Drosophila melanogaster: one gene and its partners. Changing the gene in region 1 together with any one later gene gives a genetic interaction. Each region holds a gene or a part of one and is shown in the gene's direction. Other genes may lie near its edges. The genes, in order: sNPF-R, CrebB, Galphas and Pka-R1.

What was found.
Region 2: of sNPF-R (region 1) and CrebB, changing one suppresses a phenotype caused by changing the other (phenotypic suppression), as found in Drosophila melanogaster (one study listed by BioGRID).
Region 3: of sNPF-R (region 1) and Galphas, changing one suppresses a phenotype caused by changing the other (phenotypic suppression), as found in Drosophila melanogaster (one study listed by BioGRID).
Region 4: of sNPF-R (region 1) and Pka-R1, changing one suppresses a phenotype caused by changing the other (phenotypic suppression), as found in Drosophila melanogaster (one study listed by BioGRID).

The regions. Positions count from the first base shown.
Region 1 is NT_037436.4:20,085,981-20,090,683, reverse strand, and holds the start of sNPF-R (short neuropeptide F receptor), read left to right. Parts: upstream 1-1,676; 5' UTR 1,677-1,814; exon of another isoform or gene 1,815-2,186; intron 2,187-4,703.
Region 2 is NC_004354.4:18,369,298-18,377,007, forward strand, and holds CrebB (Cyclic-AMP response element binding protein B), read left to right. Parts: upstream 1-1,686; 5' UTR 1,687-1,885; exon of another isoform or gene 1,886-2,309; intron 2,310-2,733; 5' UTR 2,734-2,835; coding exon 2,836-3,135; intron 3,136-3,736; coding exon 3,737-3,916; intron 3,917-3,989; coding exon 3,990-4,158; coding exon of another isoform or gene 4,159-4,400; exon of another isoform or gene 4,401-4,799; intron 4,800-5,951; coding exon 5,952-6,089; intron 6,090-6,545; coding exon 6,546-6,754; 3' UTR 6,755-7,520; downstream 7,521-7,710. UniProt on the Drosophila melanogaster protein: Isoform E is a PKA-dependent transcriptional activator. Isoform J is a direct antagonist of activation by isoform E in cell culture.
Region 3 is NT_033778.4:23,940,513-23,947,440, forward strand, and holds Galphas (G protein alpha subunit s), read left to right. Parts: upstream 1-2,025; 5' UTR 2,026-2,089; exon of another isoform or gene 2,090-2,302; intron 2,303-3,464; exon of another isoform or gene 3,465-3,717; 5' UTR 3,718-3,952; coding exon 3,953-4,228; intron 4,229-4,294; coding exon 4,295-4,391; intron 4,392-4,447; coding exon 4,448-4,568; intron 4,569-5,183; coding exon 5,184-5,312; intron 5,313-5,385; coding exon 5,386-5,565; intron 5,566-5,624; coding exon 5,625-5,749; intron 5,750-5,925; coding exon of another isoform or gene 5,926-5,934; coding exon 5,935-6,008; intron 6,009-6,088; coding exon 6,089-6,235; 3' UTR 6,236-6,424; downstream 6,425-6,928. Other genes in the region: Taldo (transaldolase), read left to right, coding at 1-14, 545-668, 728-1,502; orcokinin, read right to left, coding at 6,579-6,828.
Region 4 is NT_037436.4:20,817,094-20,821,985, forward strand, and holds the start of Pka-R1 (protein kinase, cAMP-dependent, regulatory subunit type 1), read left to right. Parts: upstream 1-1,871; 5' UTR 1,872-1,941; coding exon 1,942-2,376; intron 2,377-3,237; exon of another isoform or gene 3,238-3,630; coding exon of another isoform or gene 3,631-3,633; intron 3,634-4,892. Other genes in the region: Mst77F (Male-specific transcript 77F), read right to left, coding at 76-441, 504-785.

The DNA.
Region 1 (4,703 bases):
ATGGATTAAGGTGCTCTTATTCAACATATACAGATTTACAGAGAGGCTATATGAGCATCTGCTTGCCGAAGTGTGCTATCTTTCGAGTTTTTCCTTAAAATGCCTACGAGGCGTATGCGCAACACGGATTTACTTGATAATGTCAACAGGGCGTTCGACTGGCCTGCCTGTATGTATGCTTGTATGTGGAGTGCGTGTTGGTAAAGATGCCTGGCAAGTAAATAAAAATTCATGAAAGCAGCGCTTGAATATGTTACACAAATTTCCCCTAAGAGTATGAGTCGCAGTCTGAAAGTAAGGATGAGTCGTCTCAGGTAGAAAGTTGCCATTGTTTATGGTAATCGGCTAAAGGACTAAAGAGTGAGGCTTCGCAGGGAGATGGGATTCTGAAAAGCGGCCACTATTCACTTCACTTCTGGCAGAGCATAAATGTGTCAGGTGAGGTGCTTAAAAATATGAAGCCTTCTTCCGAGGACGATGGAAAAGGGACGACAATCGGTGGCTCCGGAGGAGGAGTCTCGTCCCAAGTGTAAACTGTTTGTCGACTTGGCTTTAATAAATAAATCGCAGCTGCATCAGTTGGCACATCCCTTGTAGCCCTCTCCGAACGCCCTTGACTGCTTGTGATTTCCTGTGGAACTTTCCGGCGACAGATAAAAAAACAAATAAGGACACTAAGGTTGTATTCGGATTACGTGATACCCATTCTGGGTTTTCTTTATTATTTGGAACATGATGTGGTGAGAAAGTTATAATAATATAATATATATAATAATGTATTCATTATTTAAAAAAATTATTTCCTAATTACTTAAGAATATTTTTCACGTAGCTATTAAAATATTTTAAATATTTATCAGTTTTATAAATCAATATTTCGTTTTAAAAGTTTTAAAGTTGTTACAACTTTAAAGGACAATTAGATATACCATTGCAGTGACGAAAGAGCTGGGTGTAAAATTGCGAGAAGCGACGAAATGAGGTGACGAACGTAGGAAGTAAATACATATATGAGGAAGTTTAGAAGGTAAGCACAGGCTGATGGCGATAATTGGATGAGATACATTTATGGTCTATCTGCTTGTGTGCGAAAGAAATGAAATATAATGCTTGATTAGCTAATTGTTGGGTCCCCATTAAAGCAAACAAGAAGGAGATACATTTTTGTTCATATTGGTTTAAGTTCTTTATTTAAATATAGTAACCTGTGAAGACCTAAAGTATTTAATAATATTAGCGAGCCGGTAAGTTCCTTGCAAATTCAGCAGAAAGAAAATCGATCTTTAAGGTTTTAGATACAAATTCCGAATTATAAACTTTTACATGACATCAGTGGTTCTTTCAGCGATGGATTTATGAAGTTCCTCTTACCGAATTCCGCGGTTTACGGCTCATTTCAGGGCGCAAACTGTCATCCACTCAGCTCTGCTCGGCTTGCAGATAATTGACATGAATCACTCAGCACTTGTGACACGAAAAGTCACTCAATTTTTGGCTCGCCCACTCAAAGCCCTTGCAATTGAGTGAGTTAAACGCTGCGTATACGTAATAGCCCGACGATGCTGCATATAACGTATACGCAGCGAGGGAAACGACTCGAGTTGCTCGGCTCTTCACGAGGTCTTATCAGCAAGTAACCTGTTGGTCGGCCGTTTAGCCGCACGAAGTTGGACCGTTCAGTTGCCTGTGATTCTTCGTTGACGACGGACGCGAAAATCGGCAGAAAAATCCGAAAGAAAAACCCAAACAAGACTTTCAAACAGAGGAAAAATTTTCTTCGGCGGAAGGCAAAGGAAACATATTTTCATTGTGCGGTAAAGAACTGATAGCGAAAGTGGGAGCGAGGCAGTGAAAGGGAGACCAAACAAGTGCCGAAACGTGCTCGAGTGCCTCCATCCTTGCGGTTTTTGGTTTTTGTGTTCCGAGCCGTTTCTCCCCTCCCTGTATTTATATACATTTCGTATACGCGGTGTTGACACGTCGGCGGTCGACAGCTTTCGGTTTTTATTTATACCCCCTGTTTAGTACTTTTTCCCGTGGCCAGCCGGGCCAAAACTTTTCGCCTTTCCGCTGTTTGTCTCAATGCCCAACAATAATAATTAACGGCCAGAGTGCGAGTTAAAGATTAACTTACTGGAAGCCAGTTTGAAATTAAATCATTAAATTAAAGCATCCCGCAGTGTGGGGTGAGTATGGGCGGAACGCTCAAATGTATTCGAAAATAAGTTTGACATGTTTTTTGGCCAGACCGATGTATGTATAACCCCGAGTATATTCATTACGATCCGAACAAATTGAATTCAAGTCAACTTTCTCCTGCGGCCTTTTCTTTCGCTCCCACAAAGAAAAGTTTTTCCGCTGCCAAAAAAGACTGGTGGGCCTCCTACTGGAGGTCCCGAAAAAAACATTCAACTTTTATATTGTTTTGCGACAAAACAAATAAGTTAGCAGCAGCAAAATGGAGAACAGCACAAGAAGGCTAAATGGAAAGCAAGAGCAAAAGAAGATAACATTAGGAAAACCCAATTGCATTTAAAAGGAAATCGAAAGTGGTGGTGGGGGAGCCACGTAGTCCGTTTACATTTTATGGCCAAGTCAAATGGCTCAGTCGTCACTGTTCCTTAATTAAAAATGCAAATTTCCCTTTAATTTTAATAGGTCCTCGAGTGTAGGGCGAAACGATAAACAAAAGACAGTCCGAACAACTTTCGATTGATTCTAATTGATCCCCTCTGACATGGATGCCAGTCATTCAGTCAGTCAGCCAGCCAGCCATCCATCAATTGTTGATTCGATAAACAAATGCATTGATTGCTTTGCCCAACAAGGGCGCATGCTAATGACCATGTTGTTCAGGTGGAAATTGGTCAAGTTAGCTGCGTTGTATACGTAACGTTAATCATTATTATTGTCTTGGGACGCAGATGTCATAAGTGATAATCGTGTGATTTAGGATGATTGATGCTTTGATTTACTTATTAGCGGAACATTGGTGTCACATGCAAACTCGTTCTCAACTCTGCCTGCGGAGTTTAAGTTCAGCCAAGTTAGTCCCCTCAATCGGATCATCTTTAGACGCACACTGCGTATACGTGATACGCGTGCTCATTTCAAGGATTCCGCAAGCCCGAAGCAATTCTATATGCAATTCTAGCATCAGTTGGTGTACTCCTACGATAGTTCAAAGGTGGGGAAGCAATGGAGCAACCATGGATCTAAGTAAAAGGAAAACGCATTTCAATTTGCATATCAGACCGCGCCAAAGCTGCCTGATGGCCACTAAAACTGGTCTTTGTGGCAATTTCAGGTCGCCGAAATTTCGCAATTGGGGCGAAAATTGCTAAGATGGTGTCTTGGATATCCTCACCCGATTATCCTCTTTTGCTCAAGCTCCATTCTCCCCCATTTGCATTTAAATCAACTTTGGGCCACGAAATAGTGACAAATTGAGCAGCTGGAACCCAAAAAATTCAAGTAAAAGTTGCAAATATTTGTTTTATCCACTTGTAAGCCAACGAGGTGAGCGGCTAATTGAAGTCAGTTTTATATTATAATGTAGAATATTTTCCCAATTTTATGCAAGTTTAGCCGAAACCAAATATTTTTTCAAAATAGAAGTTCTGCTCAACTGTATTTTTAGAGAAATATTTGTTCAATTCCTTTTTCCCTGTAATGGCGATGTGCACATTCCGATGAAAACATTTACATATTTTTGCAGAGCCAAAACTCAAAGCAAAACATTGGCATTTGGTTGGAAAACGTATGTTATTTCTTATGACTGCTTTCGGATTAACAAAATATTTATTTTGGAACTTTAATGGAAGCGAAGTACTTATTCCGGGCTGGTTAAACGGTTTTTATTAAATATTTACTGATATGCTGAAATTACTGAATTGAAAAAGTATAGATAGGGTACTTTTTAGTCGAACCGCTGACCAAAACCGATATTTTCATTCCAAGCACTTGGCTTGTATGCTTTTTCAAACCGTTTGCCATTTTATTGGCCACCAACTTTTGCATAAATAATGCATAAGGCTAAAGGCGTGTATGTAAATACACATTATATGTTCGTGTGTTTATGAGGCAAAGGGCTTGATAAGAAATGCGTAGAGGGGGGAGAGCCGGCCAGCTGCTTGAATTTATTTGATTTCTCACAGTCGCAAGTCACAGGTGACATTTTTACGGCCAATCTGAGCGATGGAGGCCCCAGTTCTCAGTTCCCGTACAACCAGAGTAAGTCCGGGCAGCCAAGGAGCCATAAAACGATTGCCATTCCCAAGGCCAGCACTGCCAAGTTGGCTATGGAATTGCCTTTGACTTGGTCTTTGGTCTAGCTCCTATTGCCGCCCTGTAATCTGGTTTTTCGAGTGGGTGGTCGGTGTCCCTAGTTACCTCCCCCATTGACAGCCAGTCAGCCAGTCAGCCAGTCAGTCAGTCAGTCGTTTGTGGCTAGGATTTTCAAATTTCTCCAGAGACCAAGCCAGCCAACCCAAACCAACCCAAACCAACCCGATTCGGCTCGACTCCGGGCTCCCTTTCAATTTACCTCTGGTGATGTCGATGTCTGGTTATGATTTCGGTCCGTGCAGTTGCTCACTTAACTTTTGTCAATAATTCAGCGTCCTCTGGGAGCCACGCGGGGAAGCAAGCTGGTTGCGGGGCAGCCTAATGCAGGCCAAAAAATTAATTGCTTTTCAATTAAA
Region 2 (7,710 bases), on another chromosome or scaffold:
GCCAAATATTAATATTTAAGCAACTATTCACGCAAGATAAAGTTAATAGAAACGACATTCTTTATTACCTTAACTATAGTTAGGCAAATTGCCCTTTTTTTGCTTATTATTATTTTAAAATTAATAACTTGAAAAACTATTTTTATTGATGAAGCAATAATAACTTAAAATTAACAGCTTTGGTTATGGTGTTTATAGTTTGAATTAATATATGAAATTTTAAAGTTGGGTTTAAATTATTGTGATACATTTTGAATTGAATTGAATTGAATTGAATTGACCGTAGTACAAGCAAAACTTCAAATGGAAATCGATCTTAATTTCTTTCTGTGTAGGCGGTGTGTATTTTGGTATGCAAGTCCGTTTTAACAGCCAAAACACAAGCCGCATATTTCAGCCAATTTATGGTCGGGCTCTCAACGGCTATTGTGCTGACCGCAGGTGTACTCAGTACATATGTATGTACATATGTACATATGTATGTATATATGTATATAAGTGTATTAGAAGTGTAATATGGGAACCGCATTTGCAATTCCTTTCTGCGGCCACCGGGCAAACTTCATTAGCCAGTGATGTCAGCTGGCGCGCGGAGGTAATGCGGATTTGGACAGTGAGTCAGTCCACGAGGTCGGTGGTTCAGACAGTCCGGCATTTGGGGTCCACAAGGGGGAGGGGTGAGGTGGGTGCTGGGTGATGGGTGGTGGGTGGCGAAGGGGCTTGGAGGCGTTTGAGGGTTCGTGCGACGTCGTAATTAATGGCAATTATTATGTCACTCAAAGGGAAGTCGATTGAAAAAGCAGCCTAAATAATGCAAATGGAATTGGAAATTATAATTCACAGAGGGAAAGTAAACGGGGGCACAGTCATTGCACTAATTAACTATTTATTGAGAGCCCGTTGCAGGCTTCAAATAATCTCGAGTCTGTTTTTAAGGCTTTAAGGTTTTTACGCCTCAAACTTTCCGGCTAGTTTTCTCGCGATGACGTCATGGCCAGCTCATGTAGCCAATAGTTATTCGGCTGTAAAGTAATTAGCCGCGAACATCATTTAGGCTAATTGTTTTTTGCACTTATGTGAGCAGGCTGTTTTTAGTGGTAGCGAAATAAAAAAAAGAGCAACAATTTTTTTCTGTGACCAAAGTTTCTAGTTTTTAGGCGCGCTAAAATCTGCGGTTCTATAAACTATTATGAAAAAGTAATTATTTTGCGATTGCTAATTGTTAGTTTTTAGTGCTACTGAACACCTCTTTTTGTTGAATTAATAGAATAACAATACAATTAGTGATTCATTAAACGGCCAACAATGGACTTGGAATTAATTTCGGTTACAAATGGAAAATAGAGATATGAAGTTGAAATAATTTACATACTTGTAGATGAATAAATAAAACCGAGGAAAATTGATTTACAACCTTCATCTAAGTATTAAAAACTTAAAAAAAAAACCATAACAAAATGAAGTTTTAAAAGTTCCCGCAGTTATAGCCAAGCTCCGCACCACGAGCTTAGCCAAGGTTTCAACCGGTGTGGTAGTGTGGAGCCTTATTGTTGCTGTAGCTTGTTGCTCATTCCGCAGCCAGGGTCACACTTTATCGAGCAGTTTTCTGTGAAACAGCCGATGTGTGACATCGATATCAAGCAAAACATCGAAACACATCGCCCCAAAACATCGCTGTTGGATGCATCGATGTTATTTTACATCACTAGGCGAGCGAGCCAGCAATAAGCGAACGATTTTTGCGCAAAAACGGTCTTTATCAATAAATCGCTGCGCACGATCGCATTGCCGTGGAAAACGCGTACATTGTCGTTCGAAAGCCGCCAAGCCAGCGTCTTTGCCGCCAAAAGAAACGCGTTTCGGTGCTGCAAATAGAAAAAAGAACGTAAGCAACGATAACAACAGGCAGTGAGAGCGAGCGAGAACGGGAGAGAGAGAGAGCGAGAGAGTGTTGTGTGTGTGCGTGCTGCCAACTTGTCGCACCAATTCGCTGCTGTGCTTAAGTGTGCGTGTGTGTTCTGTGGGGTTCTCCCAAAAAGAGCAAACAAATACGAAACCTTTGCGCGATGCCATTCGAAACGTATCTGAAGTTTTAGGGTTCGAACTTCGATTCGCTTACTCTGCTGCTTTATACATAAATATTTATTTGGTTGGACACCGCGACTTTTCAACAAGTTGCCAGCGCAGCGTGCAACGCGCGTACACACACACACACGCGCCCAGGAAGGAGTGAGAGAGAGAGAGAGTGAGCAACGGCAACAACAACAAAAGCCTCTCAGCAGCAACGTTTTTAGTGATGTCATCAGAAAGTAAGTTGATTTTTTCGCTGTGTGCTGTGTGTTTTTCTGTTTTTTTTGTTGCCTCTTGGCACACACACAAACGCACACGCACACAAGCGCGCGCAACGTTGTCATGACGTCATTCAACCGAAATACTCACGACTCGGTGTTGTTGTTATTGTTGCTGTTGTTGTTGTTTTCCTTTGGGGGAACTTGAGTTCCATCAGTCAGCAATCGGCACCACAGCCACAATATAATCATCGTCATCACAACGCACACTCGTCATCGGCCCAAAACAAAAACGAGCCCATGCCAATCCCGCCCAGAAACAGAAATTGAAACTTAAACTGAAACGGATTCCGATCTGAATCGGTATCACAAACTGGATGACAAATTGATAAACCGTAAAACTGACAGCGTAATCCAAAAGCAATCCAATCCAATCCAATTGTAGAAACGTCTTCAAGCTGGCCAAATTGAAGCGGAAACGGTAGCCAAACTGAAGCACTTGTCGGAGAGCGTCTCGGTGCTGCTGAAGATCGCCAGGATCGGCAACATGGACAACAGCATCGTCGAGGAGAACGGCAACTCGTCGGCGGCATCGGGCTCCAATGACGTGGTCGATGTCGTTGCCCAACAGGCGGCGGCAGCGGTGGGCGGCGGCGGTGGAGGAGGAGGAGGCGGCGGCGGTGGTAACCCCCAGCAGCAGCAACAGAACCCACAAAGTACAACGGCCGGCGGTCCAACGGGTGCGACGAACAACGCCCAGGGAGGCGGAGTGTCCTCCGTGCTGACCACCACCGCCAACTGCAACATACAATACCCCATCCAGACGCTGGCGCAGCACGGACTGCAGGTGAGCATTTGGGGACCGGGTGCTTGGTGTCAACTGTCGAGTGTCAGGTGTTACGGATCCCAGCCAGAAGTGGCTACCAAGGATGTTAGTGCAGAAGCACTTCAAAGCCTCCTTTGGTATGGGAACTGAGTGTAGATAGGGATAGTTATTACCGGAAATAAGGCAGCTTAGTGTTCTTTAACTAATAGCAAACAAACAAGTACAATACTGTTTATTATAAAGTTTTATAAAGTTTACTGCATAGATTATGCATCCATCATTTTTCAATCATTTCAATACGTTTCTTATTCTACATCCCTAAAATCGATTTCGTTTACCAATGTATATATTAAATGGGGTATGACTATATGGACTACATAATACATATAATAAATCTTTATAGTTAAGCTTCACAAAAATTGATATAGACCATATAGCTGTTATTAGGATGTCGACTACACTTACACATTCACAGGACTTTTAATTTTATTCATTAGAATATCGAGAATTTGCGGTGTTTGTTAGTTACACTACAGCCTACAAAACTTACTATGTCAGTCCCGTTGAGGCCAATAACCCTGACCGCGAGCGTTTCTAATGTAGTGACCTTCTATATCCGCAGGTGCAGTCCGTGATACAGGCCAATCCCTCGGGAGTCATACAGACAGCAGCTGGAACCCAGCAGCAGCAACAGGCGCTGGCCGCCGCCACAGCGATGCAGAAGGTGGTCTACGTGGCCAAGCCGCCGAACTCGACGGTCATCCACACGACGCCTGGCAATGCAGTGCAAGTGCGTAACAAAGTGCGTAGAACGGGGAGCACGGAGCACCCGCCGAACCGAACTCTACTAATGAACTCGATCACCTCGCACACAGATCCCTCCAACCTTTCCGTGTAAGATCAAGCCCGAACCGAACACGCAGCACCCGGAGGACAGCGACGAGAGTCTGTCGGACGACGATTCCCAGCACCACCGCAGCGAGCTGACGCGACGGCCGTCGTACAATAAGATCTTCACCGAGATCAGCGGTCCGGACATGAGCGGTAAATCCGGGGGACGATCTCTCCACCAGTCACACACCCACTCGAACACATCTCTGTCGCTCTTTAAACCACCACATCGCCTAACAATCCAATGCATCGTCGAGCTGATCGCCACTCATCGTTCATTTCACGATGCACTTGCGCCTGGCAATCTTTCGACCATTCCCAGCAACTCTCATAACGCTGGGGAATCGGTCAGTCCATCAGACACCATTCCATTCTCAGTGTTTGTAACCCCATGATCGATCACCTTTCCCGTTCATCTTGTACAGTAGCTGTTGGCTAAGTAACACTGTTAACACTCGTTGTAGTGCGCTTTAGCAAATGATCCATATCGAAATGATTAGACGAGAGGAATGTACTGTAAAATTATACTCTTGCCACAAAAAGTGCATTTACAATTTTATCAGAAAAGTCTAAGGTCCAAGTTGCTCACTGGATCCTTATGAAATCTATATTGTAAATATACAAAAGGAAAACATTTGCAACATTCATTACGTTGCTATTGTTTATAAAGCAATATATGGTTCTCCTAGTGCAATAAGATTCTCTAGCCAAAACCTTGCCCAGCTAAAAAGTAACGAAAATGTGGACAGAATAAAAAAAAAGCATTAAATATACATTTCCGAAGCTTTCCATTTGAAACTATTATTTTCAACCAGAACAGAATAGAGGGTTGTTTATTTTCTTACATAGTTTCTTAAAAATATAATGAAACAGAGGAAAGAGGTAGAAACTAATGGAACCCAGTTAGCTAACATTGTGTTTTTGTTTGGATCTCAACTGTATTTGTACATACAACACATAGATTGTGAAGGACTGCCAGCCTTGTCCTTTGTACATCATTAGGAATGCCATTTAGGGCAGCCGTACAAGCGGGAACCCCGCCCCTTTCCACCACCCCCATTATCATTTAGTTGATGTTGTTGTTGGTGTTGCTTTAACGAAGTGAAAATAATGAAAGAAAAACAAAAGGCCGGAAAACTTGGCCCGAGAAGGAGCAGAAAAAGAGGACGCGTTGTAGAGATTCCACGATTTTCCAATTCTCCCCTGTAAATAAACCTCTCACTCGCACACACACACACTCGCGCACAACTTCACCAACTCACACACACACTCACACATATGTACATAGACAGGGAGGGAAGACAGCAAGAATAATGATTAATATTTACAATAATTTAAGCATTTGAACTATTGCTGCTGTCTTCTTGCCCACAATTCTCTATCTCTCTCTCTATCGCCCTCCCCTCTCTCTCTCTTTCGCCGCCTCTCTGTCGTTGTTGTTGCTGTAATCGCTGTTGTTGTTGTTGTTGCCGTTGTTACACACACAACCCATTATGCCAAATATTAAATAGTAATGAAGAAGTACAAGCAAACGTCTCACCTAACAGTACTTTAACCGTTAATCAAAAGCTTTTCTCCACTCTCTTTGACTAACCAATCTACCTATCTCGCTCGCTCGCTCGCCGTTCTCGCTCGCACACACCACTCAAGTTCATAAACCAACCAACAAAAAAAAACCAATCCGAATTTTCAAAAGCTTCCAATTGAAAACTGAAAAATGGAAAATATGTTTTCTTATAATTTTTTTATTGTTGTTTTTTTTTCATTGTTTTCTTTTCGAACGCCTTCCTCCACCCAACCCACAAAAATAAAAAAACGATATATAAAATTCGATAATGTTCTGAACAACAACTGCAACAACAACAACAACAAACGACAATCAAAACCCCAAACCGAACTCGAATCGGAATCGAACTCGAATCAAATCGAATCGAACCCCATCCCAGGCGCATCGCTTCCCATGTCCGACGGCGTGCTCAATTCCCAGCTGGCGGGGACCGGAGCGGGGGGCAATGCGGCGAACAGCTCCCTGATGCAATTGGATCCCACGTACTACCTGTCCAATCGGATGTCCTACAACACCAGTAATAGCCTCGCTCCAAAACTAGCCTTTAGTTGCGACTTGGCAGGACCACTCGTAAATCGAACTGGAATCGAGGGTCTATCAAATTGAAGTTATCGAGTTATCGAGCTGAATGTAGGCGATGAATCAGCGTCCATGGAACTGCTTCATCGCCTAACTGCAGCATATGGACTCAAATGATTGTAATTGATAACTTTGATAATGCTCCATTCCATGCTGGCATTATTTTCGTTTTTATTCAAATTGTTTAGTTGAACATGGATGGTGTGTTCAATCATTTTTGCATGCAATTTGTGTTGACATCGAAGTGAAACCAAATCCAAACCATCAATGACTATGAAATCCAGTTCAGTTCGAGTTACAGAGAGTTCCGCTTTGGGAGATGTGCACACACACATCGCTTACAGCCAGCTGAATGACTGATTATCCAATCCTTGAAAACTTTTTCCTTTTGCAGACAACAGCGGGATAGCGGAGGATCAGACCCGTAAGCGCGAGATCCGGCTGCAGAAGAACAGGGAGGCGGCGCGTGAGTGCCGGCGCAAGAAGAAGGAGTACATCAAGTGCCTGGAGAATCGAGTGGCGGTGCTAGAGAACCAAAACAAAGCGCTCATCGAGGAGCTGAAGTCGCTCAAGGAGCTCTACTGTCAGACCAAGAACGATTGAATGTGGGCGGGGCTCTGGCGCCGCCTGCGCCTCCGCCTCCAGTTACGGCTACGGTTACGGCTACGGCAACGGTTACGGTTACGGTTACGGCGATCACTGCGCTTCGCTCCGCTCTGTTCTATTCCGTTCTGTTCTGGACAACAATGGTGGATCGATCCTTGCCGCTGGCCGGTCGCATATCATGATTTCTATACGCATGGGATGCTGCATGTGGTAGCGTGTACATTAACTGTGGGGATCGTGTTGTTGTTGTTGTTGGGATGCAGACGGGCCGAACCGGACCAAACCTAATCGAACCGAACCGGATGGAAGGGACAGAGGGTCTATCTGCCGGACACACAATGTAATTATGTTTGTAATTTAAAGATGTAATATTATGTTTACGATTTAGTTTATGCCCTAGTTTACTCGCTAACTTAACGATACTGCAGTTTACCTACGAACATGTGTTTCCGTAACCTAAGACCTTTCACCACACCCCCCCGCATGCACACCTTACCTTACCTTACCTTACCTATTGTAATTAAATTTTTTGTTTTACCTAATTCGTAATCGATGCAGCAGAACGTGCGTGTCTAGCGAAAGTGTTTTTTCTTAGCGAATTGTTGTTGTGTGCCCATATGTCAGGATATAGTCAACCAGCAGGTTGCCCAATCCACCAGAGTCCTTTCTAGATGGGTTTTCTGGGCCTACCAAATTAAAATTGTTCAAAAGTCGCTAGTTTCACTTGATTTACATATGCGTGTGCGTGTAGTATGTATATATGCGTGTGTGCCGGCCAATGTGTATCTGTAGAATTAGTCTTAAATCGAATGGATGAATTGATTGTCTGGGATTTGGGCATGGAGTTAAATATTCAAACACTTTGTTACGTAATTTTAAACGAACCCTCTCCGCTCCCAAAGAACCTGGTTAAGCAGACAATTCTGCACGCTACCGTGAATCCAGTTCGGAAT
Region 3 (6,928 bases), on another chromosome or scaffold:
CGGCGACTTTGAAGGTAAGTACGCACGCAAGGTATTTTTCTTAACAAGATGAGTCCGATTTCAAAGCTAGCGTAAGTTTGCCTCAAAAGTGGGAATCCAGAAATGCAACTAAAGCGAAATGCGAGTCTGAGCTCGAACATCCATACATATATAGAGCATACATAGAATCCGAGTCCAAAGATACATAGGATACATGGATTTATCCAAAAGATAAACATTAACGACGGGCCATCGGATCCGTCGTGTCTGCCGCAGTGAAGATCAAATAAAAGTGAAAAGCAAATCCGAGCTGACTTTAGTTTGACCTTTGGTGCTTACGTGTGTTAGAAATGTGACCGCTATAGTAAAGTGTACTATAGAATGCCACCAGAGATAAGGTTTCGGAGCAGAGTGCCAAACCTGCTCAGACATTTGAAAAGTTCAAAGATATTTTCGGTCGGGCGATTGAAAAATGAAAGTCGCTCAACAGGTTTCGAGGTCTTTCTAAAATTCGCAATGTAATTTGGCCCCGCACTTATGCAAATACTTTACACATTGCTTCCAGCCATCAACATCTATAAGCCCACGGATGCCACCACTAATCCCTCCCTCATCTTGTCCGCTTCGTCCATGGAGCGGTACCAGCCGCTGGTCCAAAAGGCGGTGGAATACGCCAAGGGCAAGAAGGGGTAAGCAGTTCACTTGGGTGTTTGCCACACAAAGCTACATAGAATACCATCGTTTGCAGCTCCGTGAGTGAGCAGGTGGCCGAGGCCATGGACTACCTGTGCGTGCTGTTCGGAACGGAAATCCTGAAGGTTGTGCCCGGTCGCGTTTCCACCGAGATCGATGCCCGCTTGTCCTTCGACACCAAGAAGAGCGTGGAGAAGGCCCTGAAGCTGATCGCCCTGTACAAATCCCTGGGCGTCGACAAGGAGCGAATTCTGATCAAGCTGGCGTCCACCTGGGAGGGCATCAAGGCGGCCGAGATCCTGGAGAACGAGCACGGTGTGCACTGCAACCTGACGCTCCTTTTCTCGTTCGCACAGGCCGTGGCTTGCGCCGAGGCCGGCGTGACCCTCATCTCCCCGTTCGTGGGCCGCATCCTGGACTGGTACGTGGCCAACACGGATACCAAGAAGTTCGAGGCGCTCAAGGACCCGGGCGTGATCTCCGTGACGAACATCTACAACTACTACAAGAAGTTCGGCTACAAGACCCTGGTCATGGGCGCCTCCTTCCGTAACGTGGGCGAAATCAAGGCCCTGGCTGGCTGCGATCTGCTTACCATCAGCCCAGCGCTGCTTAAGGAGCTGGAGAACGAGACCGAGTCGGTGGTCACCTACCTGTCCGTAAGCAACGCCAAGCTGCAGGACATCGAGAAGATCACCGTCGATGAGAGCCGGTTCCGCTGGCTGCTCAACGAGGACGCCATGGCCACCGACAAACTTTCCGAGGGCATCAGGAAGTTCGCCGTGGATACTGTTAAGCTGGAGAATTTGATTAAGACCTATCTTAAGTAGATGTTCCTCTGGGTCCGCTAGCAGGTGGAGGATGAATACATTCGTTTTTGAAAAAGACAATGATTTTATACTTTAATAAACACTACAATTAAAAGAGATGACAAGATTCAGTTGGGAGTTATGGAAATTATTAAATGGGTGAATAGGTTTGGCATGCAAATAGCATGATTACTCGTTGCAGATATGGATACGAATAATAAATACTAAAAGTTTACAAAATAAATAAAATTTGCAAATTATATCACAGATAAAGATACTTTTTTTTTGATACCTTATCATAACAACTTCAAACATGTTTTCTACACGCCCGTGTAGAATATCTATGTAAGCCTGTAGAGACGGCTGCTTATGTAAAGTATCGGACGGGTGTTTCTGGATTTCGCTATTCTACATAGCTCGGGATACTTTATTTTATTATTAATATTCGCTAAAATAGCACATCGTCATTTGGCATAGATGTTTTTGGCCCAGTAACATATCTATCTACATCACCGCCCGCACTATCCGATAGGCAGACTGACTATCGATAAAAGTATCTACTTCGTTGCATCCCTAGGTTGATACATAAAATAAAAAATATATAAAAAGTGAGTTAGTACTGGTATTAAAAGTAATTTTTAAGCTACAAATTGATGAATTGCGAGCACACAGAGACTAAGAACATTGGGAATCCGGAAAACAGTGGCTGGCGCGTCGGGTGCGATAGAATTGCCTGTTTTTCAGACCCCAAAAGTCGCTCCCAACCGAGTCGTGCACCTATAGTCTTGGCCCGAAGTTGCTCCCATGAATAAAAATGTTCGGTAATTTCACGGTAAACAATAACCATTGTCGAACGCAGGGAATAGTCGCGTTCGCACACGTAATTGCCATCGCGCAGAGATGTGATTCGCCCCTGCAGCCCCTCGATCTCGACCGACCTCCCGATTTTCGGACGTCCTGCGTCCTGCGACCTGCGACCTGCGTCCCATGTCCTTAAACCTGAAATCAGTGAAAAATCGTTCGCGCATGAATATCCAAAATACAATCCCATCCATCGAATTCAATCCATTCGAATCCAAACCAATCCAAGCAGATGCGTTGCGATGCGATTCCATTCCATTCGATTCGATTCGATCCGATTCGCGATGGTATAGGTATAATATAGTTTTTCTAACCAAGTGTCAAAGAAATGGCAAATATTTCGGATTCGGAGGCACGGAGCACTACGTATTGATATATGTACATACATTTATTTATGTACATCCATCCATTCACACATGCGAACCGAGAACTTGTGTATATATCTAAATACATACGCACGTATATACGAGTAGATACACAACGGTGTGTACTCATATCTGTGAGATATATATGTGCCCGTGTCCGTGTCCGTGCCCGCTTAGATCCCGATTCCGATGCCGATGAATTTATGTACATATATTTACATTAAAATCTGCATATCTGCCATATCTGGCATATCTGCCACCACCCCCTCCGCCTATATAGGTATATGTGTAGGGTATAGTACGTTCATCTTCCTGCGACTCCCGTCGGTCGGCAATAATTGCTAGATTAAATACTCTTAATATTCGCGTGCCTACACTCATCCGTAAACCCACATACGAGCTAATCGAATCCGAATCCGCGTATCGGACCCATCCATTCCATTCGAGCCTCAACTGCAGATGGAATTATGTTGGGTTGGTATCTCTATATACATGCGTACCTGCTGCCCAGTATGCGCGAGAGTGCCACCCTCTCCGCCCCCTTCTTCACCTGTTACACTACGCCGATGTTGTGGATGTCGATGTGAATGAGAATGTGAATATGGCTGTGAATATGGATGTGAATATGAATGTGATGAATTCCAATCGTCCGACGCGAATGTCCAACGCGAATGAACGCGCGTTGCGTGGAGTAATTTTTGATTTTGATTTTCATTCCGATTCCGATGCTATGCGAGCGCTTTTGGGACCCGAAACCCAGTGACTCACGGGACTTTCGTGGGCGGCAATGTCAGCGGCGTCGCCTTGGCTTAGTAGGCACCCATTTTGGTCGCTACACTCGCGCGTACGCGGATGATATGGGGGCACTGAAGTGGATTCGGGATTCTATGCAATCGAAATGGGTTTCTGCTGGAGAATCTCAGTTAGTGGGAATAGAAAGCTCGAGGATCGTTAGTTCTGAAAGTTCTGTTACTCATTTTTCCATCTACTATACCATTGTACGAATGCAGCCTGCTGCAGAGATCCACTGAAGCGCTGAGCCAACGCCAACGGTGGTGCCACTGAGATCGGAGATCGGAGATCGCAGACCGGAGACCGACGAGCACACAAGGGATTGTGGTTTGATCCGAGGAACCCAAGCACTCAGCTATACTGGAGCAGAACGGAGAAAGCACAAGGGGTGCCGAGTCGCCCGACGCGAACCAGGAAAACCGAGCGACGTGTTGGTGGACCCCGTGGGCTGCGATGGGTTGCTTTGGGTCGCCCACCTCCAAGCAGTCGGACGTGAACTCGGAGGACTCGAAGAGCCAGAAGCGCCGGAGCGATGCAATATCTAGACAGTTGCAGAAGGACAAACAGCTCTACAGGGCCACACACAGGCTGCTCCTCCTGGGGGCGGGCGAGTCCGGCAAATCAACCATAGTCAAGCAAATGCGAATATTGCATGTCGACGGATTTTCTGACTCGGAAAAGAAACAGAAAATTGATGATATTAAAAAGAATATTCGAGACGCTATCTTGGTGAGTTCCATCCCGCCGGCCATCTAAGCCCAAACACTTGCTTAACTCCTTGCCAATCCCTTACAGACTATTACAGGAGCCATGAGCACACTTAATCCACCTGTAGCTTTAGAAAAGAAGGAAAATGAACCCAGAGTGGAGTACATTCAGGATTATGCATCTAGTAAGAGCCTCTGCCGCCCCAACTTAAGTTGTTATCAACCATTATCTGCCCCGCAGGTCCGGACTTTAATTATCCTCCTGAATTTTATGAACATACAGAAGAACTATGGAAAGACAAGGGCGTTCTTCAAACCTATGAGAGGTCGAATGAGTATCAATTAATCGATTGTGCGAAATAGTAAGTAATGCCCACCCACATTTAACATCCTGCCATCGATGTGTTGAGCCAAACGAATAGTTCTTGTAGCACTACAAACAGATTTAATTGTTTAATTTAATTCATCTCGGAGTGCATGCCAATTGTTCTGAAAGCTTAACTATGTGTTTCACTTGGAAGTGCAGAAATTCAATGCGTTGGATCGAAAGTATGCAACTTTTAATTCTAACAAGTAATCCGCTTGATGAAGTAAACTTTAAATATCGTCGCTTTGCTGCAGTATGACTATCTGAAAGTAGAACCACAACCTAAACCTACTTTCGCATTCCATATCTGTCTGTCTGTACAATAATTACTACAATATATGGGTTTTAGAATGAGTCCAATTCTTAAAAGGAGCTAGTAGTCGAAGTAGTACCAACTACGCCATGCACATAGAAGTATCGTAACGATCATACTTTTCCAAGTTGAGAAGGCTTTTTGTTTAATTCCCCGAAGAAACAAGTTGCTAAACACCAAGTCCCAATTTTCCGTAGTTTATGCCAGCTAATCCGCATTTGTACTTGTATCTAAGCTTGATTAAGGCACTGAAACCGAATTTGTACTTACTTCTACACTTGATATTCTGCTTTGAAGCTTCCTGGACCGAGTGAGCACAATCAAGAATCCAAACTACACCCCTAATGAGCAGGATATTCTTCGGTGCCGTGTTTTGACTTCTGGAATATTTGAAACAAGATTTCAAGTGGACAAAGTAAACTTTCAGTAAGTGTAATCCCAAGTGATATCGCAATATTTTAGTTTCTATTCCATTCTAATGATGTGCATTCGCGTGCAGCATGTTCGATGTCGGTGGCCAGCGGGACGAGCGTAGGAAATGGATTCAGTGTTTCAATGATGTAACTGCTATCATATTCGTAACTGCGTGCTCAAGTTATAACATGGTTTTGCGGGAAGATCCCACCCAGAACCGACTTCGAGAATCTTTGGATTTGTTCAAGAGTATTTGGAACAACAGGTGAACCGAGCAATTTGGCGCCATCTCGACAAATGGAAACTAACGAGTTGTTCTTTCAGATGGCTTCGCACGATTTCTATTATACTATTTTTAAATAAGCAAGATTTGTTAGCAGAGAAAATTAAGGCTGGAAAAAGTAAATTGTCGGAATATTTCTCCGAGTTTAACAAATACCAAACGCCAAGTAAGTAAAATAGTATAACCCATAGTAGAGGCCAATTGAGGGCGAGGGAGTCATCAGATCAACCGACTCAGATCTGGCCAAGAAATTCGCAATTCCTTTTCAAATTTGCAAACCGTGCCCAAGTTAACTTAAGAAATTTAATGGATAATGTATTTTGTCTAATTTCAAATGTGCTGTCGACACAGGTGACGCAATAATGGAATCCAATGATGACCCAGAAGTAATACGAGCAAAATATTTCATACGAGACGAGTTTCTGGTGGGTTATATCACATCTCCGTTTCTTCCTCCACCTATCTAACTAGCCTTAATCCTTAATGGGATCTCTTTCTTATATAGCGTATATCTACCGCTAGCGGAGACGGAAAACACTACTGCTATCCACATTTCACATGCGCCGTTGACACAGAAAACATTAAACGTGTGTTTAATGATTGCAGAGACATTATTCAAAGGATGCACCTTCGTCAATATGAATTGTTATAGGTTATCCCCATCGCCGTAATGCAAGTAAATAAAAATATTAATGACTTACTGTTTTAAATATAATTATCAAATGTAATTTGTATTTAAATAGTCCCTTGATTAAAACAAAAAATTCGCTGCATTTAGATCTGGTATGACCTTTCACAAAACTCAACATTAAAGAATAATAAATAAACATGTTAATAACAGACACGCTTGTTTCGATTATTTTGGCTATTCTACCAGGATGCACCTGCTTTATTTTCTATAGTCCCTTGACATGAAGCATTTTAGAGTATTTCCGCTATCAGAGTCCGTATCCATATCCATGGGCATTTACATTCACGCGCTGTCGAAGGTATCACTAGACGAGCTGGTTGAGGATGCTGAAGCTGGCGGAGGCCTTGTCGATCTCGTCGAAGTTCCGCTTGAGCTTACTGCTCCAGGTGTCCTTGTACAGGGGGTCCATCCTCACCAGGTAGGGCACCAGGTCCCGGTGATGGCCAGACCCGATCTTGCCGGCCGCGCACTGCTTCACCGAGTACTTCGTCTTGAACTCCGACTGGCTGCACTCGTAGCAGACGACCGTTTGTCCATTGGCAGCCGAAATCAATCTGGGGATCAGGGCATATGTTTCAGTGATTGGGAAGGGGATTAGTGAGTTCAGTGAGTAATGGCAAATAGGCGGGCAAGCAGGCACTTTGGCTGCCGGTA
Region 4 (4,892 bases), 730 kb from region 1:
ATTTTGACTGGTTCCTGATCAATAAAAATGGCCGAAAAGTGGTGTAGGAAAGGGTGTGGAAGATGAAACCTCCGATTACATCGAGCACTTGGGCTTGGAGCTCTTGGGCTTAAGACACCTTGGCTTTGCCTTCGCCTTGCCGCATTCCATCTTCTTCCTGGGGCGGGGACATGCCTTCCGGGGTCGGGCGCCCTTGGGCTTCGGTTTGCCGCAACTGCGACGTTGCTTCGAGGTTTTCGCCCGTGGTTTGGGGCAACTCTTCCGCACCCTGGGCTTGGAACACTTGTTCTCCTTTCTTGGAGTGCAGCTATTGGAGCCACCGGCACCGAAGAAAGTGTCTGCGCAGCCACTTATTTCAGAGTGCATTCTGTGCTCGCCCTCACTAGAACGCTGAAGACTGCTCACACTGTTGGGCTCTACATGAAAAGTGTCCAATGGTTCCTGCGGAAGTGCATTACGATTGCATACATGTGCATTTCGTTTGTATTCGACACCTAACTTACCGCAGAATACTGGCATCGATGACGGAATGACATTTCGTTCCATCGGGTTTCAGCAGCCCGTCTTATCTCGTTATTCGAGTAATATTCTCCGTAGCGCTTCTTAAAGTCCCTCAGAAAATTAACAAAGCCAGACGATGAGGCGTATTCGTCCTCTGCCCTATTGATATCTTCTTCAATGTCGGAGGCGTCGGAATTAACATATTCAATTGATTTTTTATAGGTTTTCACTGATTTTGTTACTGCCACCTCCGGCTTGCTATCCTTTTGTTTCAGATTACTCATTTTGCAACCAATTCTTGCTCGACAGAAATTTTCACAAACAAATTTGTTACTCAGAATTATACAAAAAAAAATTATATATGTATAAAAAACTGTACTCAATTTTATCGAAATATTTTAGTTGTTCCTCGTTCAAAGGTAGTGTACTAACTGTTTGTATGCTGGCTTCAGCGTGGAGACCTGGAAATTGGATTTGAATGAAGGCTCAATTCTACTATGATCAAGAAAAAGTTCCTTTTTTCAAACCAAGTTGGCTGTTTTCAAAGTACATTTCGCAGATCGGCGCCATATTTCCATGGTTATTTTTGTATACTATATTCGTTCAAGATATTGTAGGAGAAAATGTTTAATGTTTCTTGATCAGTATCAGTCGAGCTGGCCATATTCGTCCGTCCGTGTGTCTTGAAAAAGGTTTTAATATTCTGTTTGCAATCCGACTAGCTGAGTAACGCGTATCTGATATTCACGAAATAGAATAGCGTACTTCCTTGTTTTCAATGAAATGAAATGAACAAATATTTTACAAAAGCAATACTAAATGTTATATTATAATCTGAACAAAATATGTAAGAAATACCAGAAATGTCGTTGGTGAGGGAAGGTGTTTAAATTATCCTGTGCGACTACGTTCCTTTCCGGGGTTTCAACCACTTGGTAAGCAACAAGCGGCATTTTGCTGGTTAATGCTGCCGCTTAAACGAAAATCAATACAACTTGCGGTCTATTTTCGAGCGGATTGTTAAAAAAAAAACCCATCCATAGGTGGATTTCCCAGCACGGATGCTTTATTTTCGGCTTCCTGCTTCGGAGAACTGTATTCCCTCTGTTCATTGTGAAGCTTTAAAGTTTATTTTGTGAGACAGGCTGCAGCAAAAGCTTGCAATGCTGCAATGTAAATAGAGCAGCGCACCTGTGGAGGTCCTTTCCACATCGTCCTGTTCCCCCTCTCACTTGCCAAGCGACTTTCCTTACCCCTTTTTCTCCCAACTTTGATTTTGAGTACGCCTGTGTGTGTGCGCCGGACTCTCTGGGGCAAGTTGCCTGTTGAATGCCGGACCCGCTGTCAGTTGGATTAGCATCCTGACGCCGTGCAGAAGCATCCTGCTTCCACCTAGTTCACTCCGTTCGTTTGCTTTTTATTTGTTTGCCTCCGCGCGCCATGGGCAACCAGTTGAGTGTGAACAGCATCCAGGATGCGGTCATCGATCGCTTCCGCTCGGTGGCTTTGACCACCGATGCCAACGGCGCCATGCGCATCCGTTCGTTTTCGGAGGGCGTGGTGGCCACCACCCACCATCATCATCAGCATCAGCAGAATCAGCAGCAGAGTCCCCATTGCAGTGGACGCGGCGGACGCATCCTGCGCGAAAGTAGCATCGATGGCGGGGTGGCCATGTTCGATGCTCTGCTCCGCGATGATCACGAACATCGGCTGAGCTTGGATGCAGTGCATCGCATGCGGCATGTTCGCACCTCCTGCACCACAATTCCCGAGGAGGATGCCGTCAGCGATCGCAGCCTGCAGATTCATCTCTCCACTCTGGCCCGCGAACGTGAACAGGAACTTGAGCTTGAGCGCCAGCGGGAACGCGAAGTAAGTTGGAAAGTCGGAAAAGTTTCCAATTTCCGGAAAACAGTAGGAAATCACTAGGAATTTGTGCTGAAAAGCTTTTGGCGGAAAAAAGATTTAAAGTGTGGGAGTGTGCGCATACTAGAAAGCTTTGAATCGTTTGAAATTGGTGTCTTGTTGATTCGATTTGTGACTACAAATCACGATGTCGTTAGTTCTAACACAAATAAAAACATGCAAAAAAATGTTTACCTTATTCCGCGAGCACCTAATACCCTACTTAGAATATAAAAATTTAATAAAATATGAAAAAGTTTGCTATGTTTTACGTTAAGGCCTTTTAATTCTTTCAAAATATCTTTCGTATCTGAAGAAAAAGAACGAACAGGAAGAAAATGTTCACATTTTATTTAAACATTATAAATTTATTTTTTGCAAAAAGGTAAATGGAAAGGGGTTAATTTTTGGGATACAGTAGAATATAGTAACCTAAACTATATACTAATTTAAAGAAAGTGCATTTCATAATGCCCCACGAGCTGCTTTTTGCGACAAAATGTCGAGTTTGCACTTGAAACTCGAAGGGAATTCTAACGAAATCAAAGCGCTCCCTTCGCTTTCCCTTTAGCACTTCTGGCCCTTTTCTCCCGTAAAAGCTTTTCCCTTTGCCAGGACTTGCGTCACAAGTGCGAGTGTATGTGTGTGAGGTGGTGGGCGGGTGTGCGAAAAACTTTACTTTTTGGCCAGTCGTATTTGTATGTATATATTTGTGTATATATAGAAAGGTTGCCTTCGCTGGGCGTGTTGGTGAAGGTCATCCTGTCGTCGTCGAGATTGTGTTTGTGTCTGGCTGCTAGAGTTTGCTTTCGTCCTTTCGTTTGTCTCAGTCACTTTTTGGCCACCGTCAGTTGCCCATCGTTGTTCCCAATTTTAGTTTTTTCGCCAACTTAACTGCTCAATTTACTAGTTACCATTCACCTTTTGCGGTCGTTACTTTTCGACTTTCTTGCCTGATTGATGGCCACGCGAATTCCGCTGCTCCGATCATCGAATTGTCCGGTTTAACGGTCGTGTTAATGCCGCTTTTACGGCTGTCATCGCTCCGTCCGGCGCTGTTTACGCCGGCTTCTGATTAACAGCGGAATCGTGCCAAAAACTACGCCGGACACTTTGTCCCCAGTGTCCGCCATAAAGTACAGACAAACAACAATCAATTGTGTTGGCCAAACGAGGTTGGAAAAGTGCCAAAGCGGAAGTGACAGGAACTCGACCAGCGAAATGGTGGGTAAAATTCGAAGTGTTAAATACGGTTAACTTGGTAAATATTTCGGAAAGAATTGGTTTCAATAGCGTTTTTATAGTGAGGAAGAGAAAGGGTCCCATTGCATTAACGCTTAAGAATCCTTAATCTTTAACATTCAAGTATTCATTCTTCTTCCGTTCCTTCATATTTCTATATTATCCCATTGAAAGGTATACAATTCTCATTTTTAGATATTTATTAGAACTCAAAGTTGTTAATAGTAATATTACTTTCCGATTATCGAATTGCCATCAAGGTATAACTGGATACATTTTTCTTCCAAGCTATATAAATAGTCTCCTTGAGGAAAAACAAATTGACAACATTTTTTTTTAATGAAAATCAACAATTTTAAATGAAATCAACACTCGTATTCTATCCAATCTGTTTGTTTCCTTCCAGAACGCAAAGCATTTAACATACAATTCCAATGAAAAATTTCCCCGAAATATGGCCTCGAATTATGCTCTGTTTACTTGATTAAATTGTTATTTTACTACCTTTTATTTCCTTTTTATGCACTCGCATCGCATTAAAACGATTTCTGTGATATTTTTAAGTGGGTCCGATGAAAGCAATTTATGAGCTCAAAGAAGCTGGGGTCGGAAAAATCGAATTTTTGAAATTTGAAAGCTGGAATCGTTTGCCCATTTTTTGCCCATGTTTGCCCACCAATTAGTTTTTTTTGCCCACGTCCAGTTTTTGAGATATGAATTTTCGAAAAAGTTCGAAAATTTTCGAAAATCAAAAATTTCGCTTTTTTCAAAATTTTTTTTTTTAAATCGCAATAACATCGTTTGCCCACGTTTGCCCACCCTTTAGAATTTTGAAAAAATTTATACTTTAGAAAATATAAGGCTTTTAAGTTTACCTCGGTCTAATCAGAGAGTAAATCGTTTGCCCATCTCTTAAAACCAAATATTATCAACAAAAAAGGTTTGCCCAACCATTATTATTAGTTTTTATCGTTTGCCCACCCTTTAAAAAACCTTTAACAAAAATTTTTTTTCGATTGCCCACATTTAAAATACACCCAATTTCGTTAGCCCACCTCTTTAAAATAAAAATTTCCAATAAAAAACGTTTGCCCACCATTTAAAAATAAATAATTTCGATTGCCCTGCGCTCTTTAAAACTAAATAATTTCGTTTGCCCATCCTTTAAAATTCATTTTTAACGTTTGCCCACCCTTTAAAAATAAATTATTTCGTTTGCCCACCCTTTAAAATTTGTTTTT